Linked DNA regions of Macaca fascicularis. The protein of the gene in region 1 purifies or fractionates together with the protein of each later gene. This does not show direct contact. Links are inferred from orthologs where the notes say so. Each region holds a gene or a part of one and is shown on either strand. Other genes may lie near its edges.

Region 1 (3,511 bases):
CAATCAAAACCCAGTTGCCAGCAGGAACGCGGTTCACCTCGATGTGGTACCTGAAGCAATATCCAATAAGCAGCAGTGAAACTTAAGCAGAGCATTCATTCCCTAATTTTTTTTTTTTTTTTGAGACAGGATCTCACTTTGTTACCAGGCTGGAGTGCAGTGGCACCATCTTGGCTCACTGCAGCCTCAAACTTCCAAGGTTCCAGTGATCCTTCTGCGTCACCCCCCAAGTAGCTGGGACTACAGGCACGCGCTACCATGCCCAACTAATTTTTGTATTTTTTGTAGAGATGGGGTTTTGTCATGTTGTCTAGGCTGGTCTTGAACTCCTGAGCTCAAGCGATCCTCCTGCCTCAGCCTTCCAAAGTGCTAGGATTACAAGTGTAAGCCACCACACCCGGCCTATTCCACAAAAATTTACTGAGTACTTGCTGCGTGCCAAGAGCAGAGGTGAGCAAAACGGATACATTCTAGCAGGGGAGAGATACAGTAAACAATCATTATCCACACATGTATGTGGTTACAAACTGATGAGTATTACGAAAGAAAAGTACAAGGTATTTCTGTGAGGACATAACAGGAAAATCTTACTCCAACTGCAAGCTCATGGTAAAAAGCTGCTGCCCAAGGTGTCCACTGTAAGGGGCTAGCAAAAGCATCACAGAAGGCCAGGCGTGGTGGCTCATGCCTATAATCCCAGTGCTTTGGGAGGCTGAGGCGGGCAGGTGGATCACCTGAGGTCAGGAGTTTGAGACCAGCCTGGCCAACATGGTGAAACCTATCTCAACCAAAAATACAAAAAACTAGGTGGACGTGGTGGTGCAAACCTATAACCCTGGCTACTTGGGAAGCTGAGGCAGGAGAATTGCTTGAACCCGGCAGGCAGAGGTTGCAGGGAGCCAAGATCACGCCATTGCACTCCAGCCTGGGTGACAGAGCGAGAAAAATAAAAAATAAAAAAAGGCCGGGCACGGTGGCTCACGCCTTTAATCCCAGCACTTTGGGAAGCTGAGGCAGGCATCACAAGGCCAGGAGATCGAGACCATCCTGGCGAATATGGTGAAACCGGTCTCTACTAAAAATACAAAAAAATTAGCCAGGTATGGTGGTGGGTGCCTGTAGTCCCAGTCACATGGGAAGCTGAGCCAGGAGAATGGCGTGAACCCAGGAGGCGGAGCTTGCAGTAAGCTGAGATCGTAGCCACTACACTCCAGCTTGGGCGACAGAGTGAGACTGTCTCAAAAAAAAAAAAAAAAAAAAAAAAAAAAAAAAAAGCATCACAGAAAACTTCCACTTTCCCAGCTCTTCAATATTCTGCCTTTTGGCATTTAGGGTGGATTTGACAAAAGGGGCCATCATTGAGGTAGAGTAGCCACCTTAGGGAACACAAATGTCTTGGTTTAACTTGTCAACTGGGAAGCCAAACTCATAAACTGACAAGTAGCCCAGAGGCCCAAGCTAAGTTTGACTCTGCAGATTGGGATGCTACAAGGTATCCAGTGAATCCTTCTCTCTTGGTCAAAGCATAGACAGTGGAGGTTGGGAAACAATTTCTTTTGGGAAGAAACACAAAGATTATGACTTAAGGAACAGAGGAAAGGAAATGGAAAGAGAGTTAAAATGAGTAACAATGGAAATCTTGCTACAAAAGTTCATACAAGCTTCATGCTTTCAAAAGGGCTTTAAGATGGCCTGTGGTGGCTCACACCTGTAATCCCAACATTTTGAGAGGCTGTGGTGGGAGGATCACTTGAGCCCAGGAGTTGGAGACCAGTCTGGGCAATATAGTGAAACGTTGTCTCTACAAAAAAATTAAAAAATTAGCCAGACGTGGTAGTGTGTGCTTGTAGTTCCAGCTACTTGGGAGGCTGAGGTGGAAGGACTGCTTGAGCCCAGGAGGCGGAGGCTGTAGTGAGCTGAGATTGTGCCACTGCACTCTGGCCTAGGCAACAGAGTGAGACCCTGTCTCAAAACAAACAAACAAACAAATAGGGCTAAAAAAAAAAGTTCACACAAGCCACCCAAAGTGCAAAGGCAAAGTTTCTGCCACTATTCCAACAGTAGCTGCCTTTGGCCCCAGCAAACCTTGGATAGGAAGAACTAGAAGTCAATAGCCCTGCAGATAGAGAGCCGCTTTACCCCCTCTTGCACAGAGCCTTGCAACTACTTCCAAGGAGGATCACCCCTTCCAGCTCCTTGGGGGCAGTCCCTGGACAGACACCGAGGCATACCCCTGGGGCTCTGGTTGGCAGTACCTGGCCACAGAGATCCAAAGGCGGCCCACAGTGCATATCTGGGAGTCTTCCTCATCCTCCAGGGTGTAGTTCTCCCCCAGTACCTTCACAGGCTGCCCAGCATGAATGGTGCCACTCAGCACCCGGCCAAAGGCATGAAATTGGACTCCATCATCTGTGCTGTACATCTTGGTAGTGTGGCACATCAGGGGGCCCTGGAAGAGGGGACAGGGTGCAGCTTCAACCACATCTACCCTCCGGGGAAGTACTACTCCCCACCATCTTCCTTGACAGCAAGGACATGAGCTCTATGAGGAGCTAGAGAAAGATGAGGTAATCTCATCTCCAAACTATGTTGTATCCCATCCCTCTAAGGAGGCTGAATAGGAGACATGGCAGAGCAAAAATATTCTCTTCCTTTTTTCTTTTTGGGAAGATAAGAGCATTGAAGAAGAGACGCAGATTTAAGATGGCAGACTGGCACTATTCACAAGATTGCTTACTGTCCCAAATTTCCTCTTAAGATGTAACTCAATTCTCAACTGGCTGTGTATTTATGACGAGAAACTAGACAGCCTAAGAAATGGCTGGCAAAGATGTTTTTAAAAGCCAGGACTGACAAGATTAGCTACCATTTGTTGAATCTTTAGTATCTGCCAGGCAACATGCTGAACACAATCGTAACACTTCCTTAATCTTATTTAAATCTCATAACAACCGCTCACATTTTATTATGCTCGTGTTATAGACCAAGGCCTTGAGGCTCAGGAAATGTGAGTAATGTTCGCAAGGTCATGGCACTAGCAGCGGCAACATTAGGCTTTGCATTCAGGCCTGACTGTGCCCATGGGGATGGGAAGGCAAGGGTGGCGAAGAGGGCATGACTCCGGTGACCAGAAATCAGTATCCCCACACAGGAAAGGAAAAAAAAAATCAGAGAACCAGGGAGCCACGTGCCCTTACATCAGGGTCACAGTCACTCATAGCCTCGCCAAGGTCGGAGTCCACACCGCCCGTGTAGGTGTGCTCAATCTTCGGCTTGGCGCCCACCTTTGGAGAAGGGATATGCTGCACACACATGTCCACAAAGCCTGTGGATGGAAAAGAGAAAGCCATTACTACATGCCCCCCGGGGAGCACGAGCAGGAGTTACTCAACCATTCACAATGGTCAGAAAGCTCAAAGTGCGGGGACTAAAAGCTCTGGCACTATGATTCTAGGGGCAAAGTTGATAGCCTGCTTTCTGGGAACGTGCTGCTAAAAGATGTGGAGTCACC
Region 2 (3,953 bases), on another chromosome or scaffold:
AAAATCGAAGATAACAGCCTACAGTGTACACGGGTGGTCGTGTCTACTTTTTAGAAGCCCATGAGCTAGTGGGTAAGCAAATGATTCATGGAAATAATTACAAAAACAAGGTAACATATGCTAAGAGTTATTAGGGCTATGAATGATGTATCTTGGATACCCTATTAGGTAATTTTGTGGTGAAAAATTTGTAAACAATCTAGTGCTAAATAGAGAAATGGTTTAAAAATTTAAGATACCAATAACTTGCTTTCACTGTCACCTAAATTAGTTTGGTTCCATTTTTAACAGTCTTTTATTACAAACTGATATAATCATAGCATAACTAAATTCAACCCTGTTCTCTATAAAATCTCGTTTTGTAAGGTTTTACTATGATTTTGCATGCCATTTGATGTCCACAGGTAGTTTTAAGTCAAAAGGAAATCTGTAAATTAGGAACTGTTAATTTCCTCTTCATTTGGGCATCCTAGGCAGACTGTATAGAATTGTTCCAAGCACCCCATTAATTTGAGATTAGCCTAAGTTTTTCCTACGCCTGCACTTTGGAATATAAACATGTAGAAAATAGTCCATGACACAGCGGATGGGTTCATAAGTTTCTTCCGGGTTCTAACACCGAATCGTGCTGATGATCTGGCAATGGAGGCTAATCTTGCCATATCAAGTACGGCCTATTCGCTAAGCCGTCTGGGGTACTTTATAATTTTTTTCTTTCCTGGTCTGTTTGAAGGGCTCCTATAGCCAACAAGGTTGTCAGTCCCGTCAGTTACGCTGTGAGGACGCCTAAACGCTTTCAAGTACTGATGCTGCGCGATCGTGTGAAAGTGTTTCCCAGAGCACCTCCCTCGCGGGGTGGGGAAAAGGACCTCACTCCCCACGCCCCCTCCTTCCGCTGCAGGAGATAGCCACACCTTCCCCCTATCGGCGCCAAGCAGGTGGCCAGGCCCTCGGGACCTCGCGCCCCCGCAGCCCAGTGGCCCGGCCAGCTCGTGCGTCACGTGACGCGGGTCAGCTGCGCCGCCGGGACCTCCAGGCACCGCGGCGGCGACAGCCCAGCGCGTGGTCTCGGGATCTCATCTTTCCGCGCCCCTCCCCCCACGATCCCGGAAAAGGGGGAGGCCGGTGACGTCATCATCCGGGTTCTTGTCGGTGGGGCCACGGTTCACAATGGAACAAAAACAAGCGGCCAGAGTCAAACTATGAGCGACGCGGCTGCGGCTCACGCGATTAACCCCGTCGTGACCGCACACCCCGCCAGTCCCTGCCGCCCAGCCCCTCCGGCGTGGTGTGCCAGATCTTTTCGGGCCTCCCTTCCCCAACTTCGGTCCTAGAGCCACCTCTGCCCTCGTCCCGCTCCTGAGCCGAGGGGCATGGAACAGGATTTCTGGCGGTAGCACGACCCTGAAGGGGCCAGCCGGAAGAAACGGTACTGCGCGAACAATCTTTACCGCATTGTCTTCCCCTCCCCCACCCTAGCTCTCCGGGTTCCCAGCGGCTCGCGCCCAAGCCCGGCCCCCTCGGCGGCTCGCGCTGCTCTCCCAGCCTTGACGGTCCGGGGTGGAGGCGGGAGAAGAGGGGGCAGCTGAGCGGGAGGGGGCTGGGCAGGAGCAGGGGGAGGCCCGAAAGGAGGGGCCTGAGAGGGGCGGGGTCTGACGGGGGCGGAGAACTTCGGGTCTTGGGCGGCTCTGGGGCTAGTGGGAGTCTGCGCCGCCGCCGCCACCGCTGCTGCCGCCGCCGTCGCCGCTACCGCCGCCGCCACTGGCCGAGCGGTTTTTTTTTTTTTTTTGGTTTGCCGGATCCGCCATATTGACGAGGACGGGCATCCGCGGCTGCGGACGCTAGTCTCCGCCGCCGCCGGAGCCGCAACCTCTCCGCACCCGGCCCCGTCAGGGCCTCTGCCGCGCCGAGCCCCTCCCCGCCTTGCATAGCTCCCGGGCCTCGCGGGAGCCCTCCGCCGCCGCCTCTCTCTCGCGGGAGGCGGCCGCCTTAGCGCCCGGTGCTTGGGTCGGCGCCGGGAGCTAGGAGAGAGCTGCTGCAAAGCCACCAGGCCCGGAACGGGGACAGAGGCGGCGACTAGGGGAAGGTGAAGCCGTCGCTGCAGGAGGAGGAGCAGGAGGAGGTGACGCAGGAGAAACGCACCGCCCGGAGCCCGTCTGAGCTCAGCGAGAGCCCCAGCCTGAGGGGAGAAGGGGGAAGAGGGCCGTAGCCGGCCAAGGAGGAGGAGGAGGCGGGCGCGGCGAGAAGCGAGTTCCGGCGCCGGGCGTGCAGCCTTTTGGTTGAGACGCCCTCAGCCCCGAGCCCGGCCGCCGCAGCCTTTCAATACACTTTGTTGCCGGTCACCCACGGGCCTGGGATGCACCCAGGGTAGGTCTTGTCCCGAGACCGAGCCCCAGCGTCGCCTGCTGCCTCCCGCCTCCACGTGCCCTGGTTCTGAGAAGACGTCTGTGTCGTGCGGTGAGTGGCCAGCTGCACCGGGGCGACGCGCCTTCCCGGGGCCAACAGCTGGATGTGGGTGAGGGGAGGAGGGCGAGGGGGGTGTGCGTGTGTGTGAGCTTCTTCCCTCGGCGGCTGCCGGCCGGGCCGGGGCTTCCCCGTTCCCCCTCCTCCGGCCCGGGCTGGGCGGGCGCGCGGGGCCGTGTTGTGTGTGGAGCCGGTGTCCCGAGAGCGTGTCTTGTGTGTTTTGGACTGTAAGGGAAAATGGCTGACGGCTCCGTCCCTCCCCCTCCTCCCCCTTCCCGTCCTGTCTGGGGCCGAGTAGGAGGATGGAGTCTCCGGGCGTGGCGGGCAGCCCCCCCGCCGTCCGCACCCGGGGCCCGGGTCGGTTTGGGGGCTGGCCGCCCCCGGCCCGGCGGCCGCTTTCCTGCCCGGTCTGGTTCCACTTGACACCAAACGCCATTACTGAGGTGGAGTGATTTGGAGTCGGGGAGCTAGGCCTCGGCTACGCCTGGCTATCAGGCCTGACGACTTGTCCGCCTCCCCCCACCCTCCCGCGATAACCCGCAGTTTCTCCCCGGCCCTGGGCTCCTGGAGTCGGAGCTGGGTTATCGGCCTCCTACACTTCCTTAACCCCGCTTAATTTGCAGAGGGCCAAAGCCGTGAAAGGGGTTTTTGAGTGCAGAAATCGCTTCCAAGCTAGCTTGGACCTATTATCTTTCTATTTTTAACTGTTTCTGCAAATATTAGCATGTGCGAGTTTATTAGTGATCAGATCTTCAGATTCTTGTGACGTGAGGCTTAGGGTTGGATAAATGGCTGATTTTTCATTCATTGTGAAATAAGTTAAAGAGTTATAGAGCAGGTGTATAGATGGCTTCTTCAATTATTTGTGTGGATTTCTGTAGCGACTACAACTTACACGAGAATTTGCAAAATTTCTAGTAGAACCTGCTTAAATTAAGCATGTTATTTTTTGGAAGTTCCATAGTTATAACGTTAATTGAATTTACACGGTGCAGTTTACAGGTGTATATAATTGTTTCAGATTGTCTTTTAGTTTAAGCAAGTTGTAGGTATAGATTATTCATACTTTATTTTTCGGCGAGAGAAGTGTGTGTGCCGCTCTTTTACCTGGAAACCCATGAGTCCCTGAATCTACCTAACGTATGTATACTTTCACTTTTGAGGGGAATAATTTGGGGTGCATTGATTAGGAAACTTTCCAGCAGGTACTTAACCCTCTCGGAGCTAATTACCCTTAGGTAACTCCTTCACCATGACTAGCTTGGCTGGTTAGTACACTTGAACTTAAAAATAGAGACTACAAACTCTCCTTTAGATCTCGCTGGTCTTCTAATTCGCTGGGCTGCCATTTTGGTTTCAGCAAATGCCTTCAAATTCTTGAAGAATTATATATTAAATATAAAAAATGTCAACATTCTTTTTCTCAATTTTTAAACTAATGTGCTGTGTCATACATCTAACTTTAACCCTTTAAACTTTATCGTTCCAGC

What was found. The genes of interacting proteins can lie anywhere in the genome.
Region 2: the proteins of EFTUD2 (region 1) and USP9X fractionate together in Homo sapiens (co-fractionation; 3 studies listed by BioGRID, with this or other methods). This does not show direct contact. The link is inferred for Macaca fascicularis from reciprocal best matches to the Homo sapiens genes EFTUD2 and USP9X.

What each region holds. Positions count from the first base shown.
Region 1 is NC_088390.1:65,920,235-65,923,745, forward strand, and holds part of EFTUD2 (116 kDa U5 small nuclear ribonucleoprotein component), read right to left. Parts: intron 3,326-3,511; coding exon 3,198-3,325; intron 2,450-3,197; coding exon 2,256-2,449; intron 51-2,255; coding exon 1-50. UniProt on the Homo sapiens protein: Required for pre-mRNA splicing as component of the spliceosome, including pre-catalytic, catalytic and post-catalytic spliceosomal complexes. Component of the U5 snRNP and the U4/U6-U5 tri-snRNP complex, a building block of the spliceosome.
Region 2 is NC_088395.1:41,067,339-41,071,291, forward strand, and holds the start of USP9X (ubiquitin carboxyl-terminal hydrolase 9X), read left to right. Parts: upstream 1-1,148; 5' UTR 1,149-1,429; intron 1,430-1,696; exon of another isoform or gene 1,697-2,457; intron 2,458-3,953.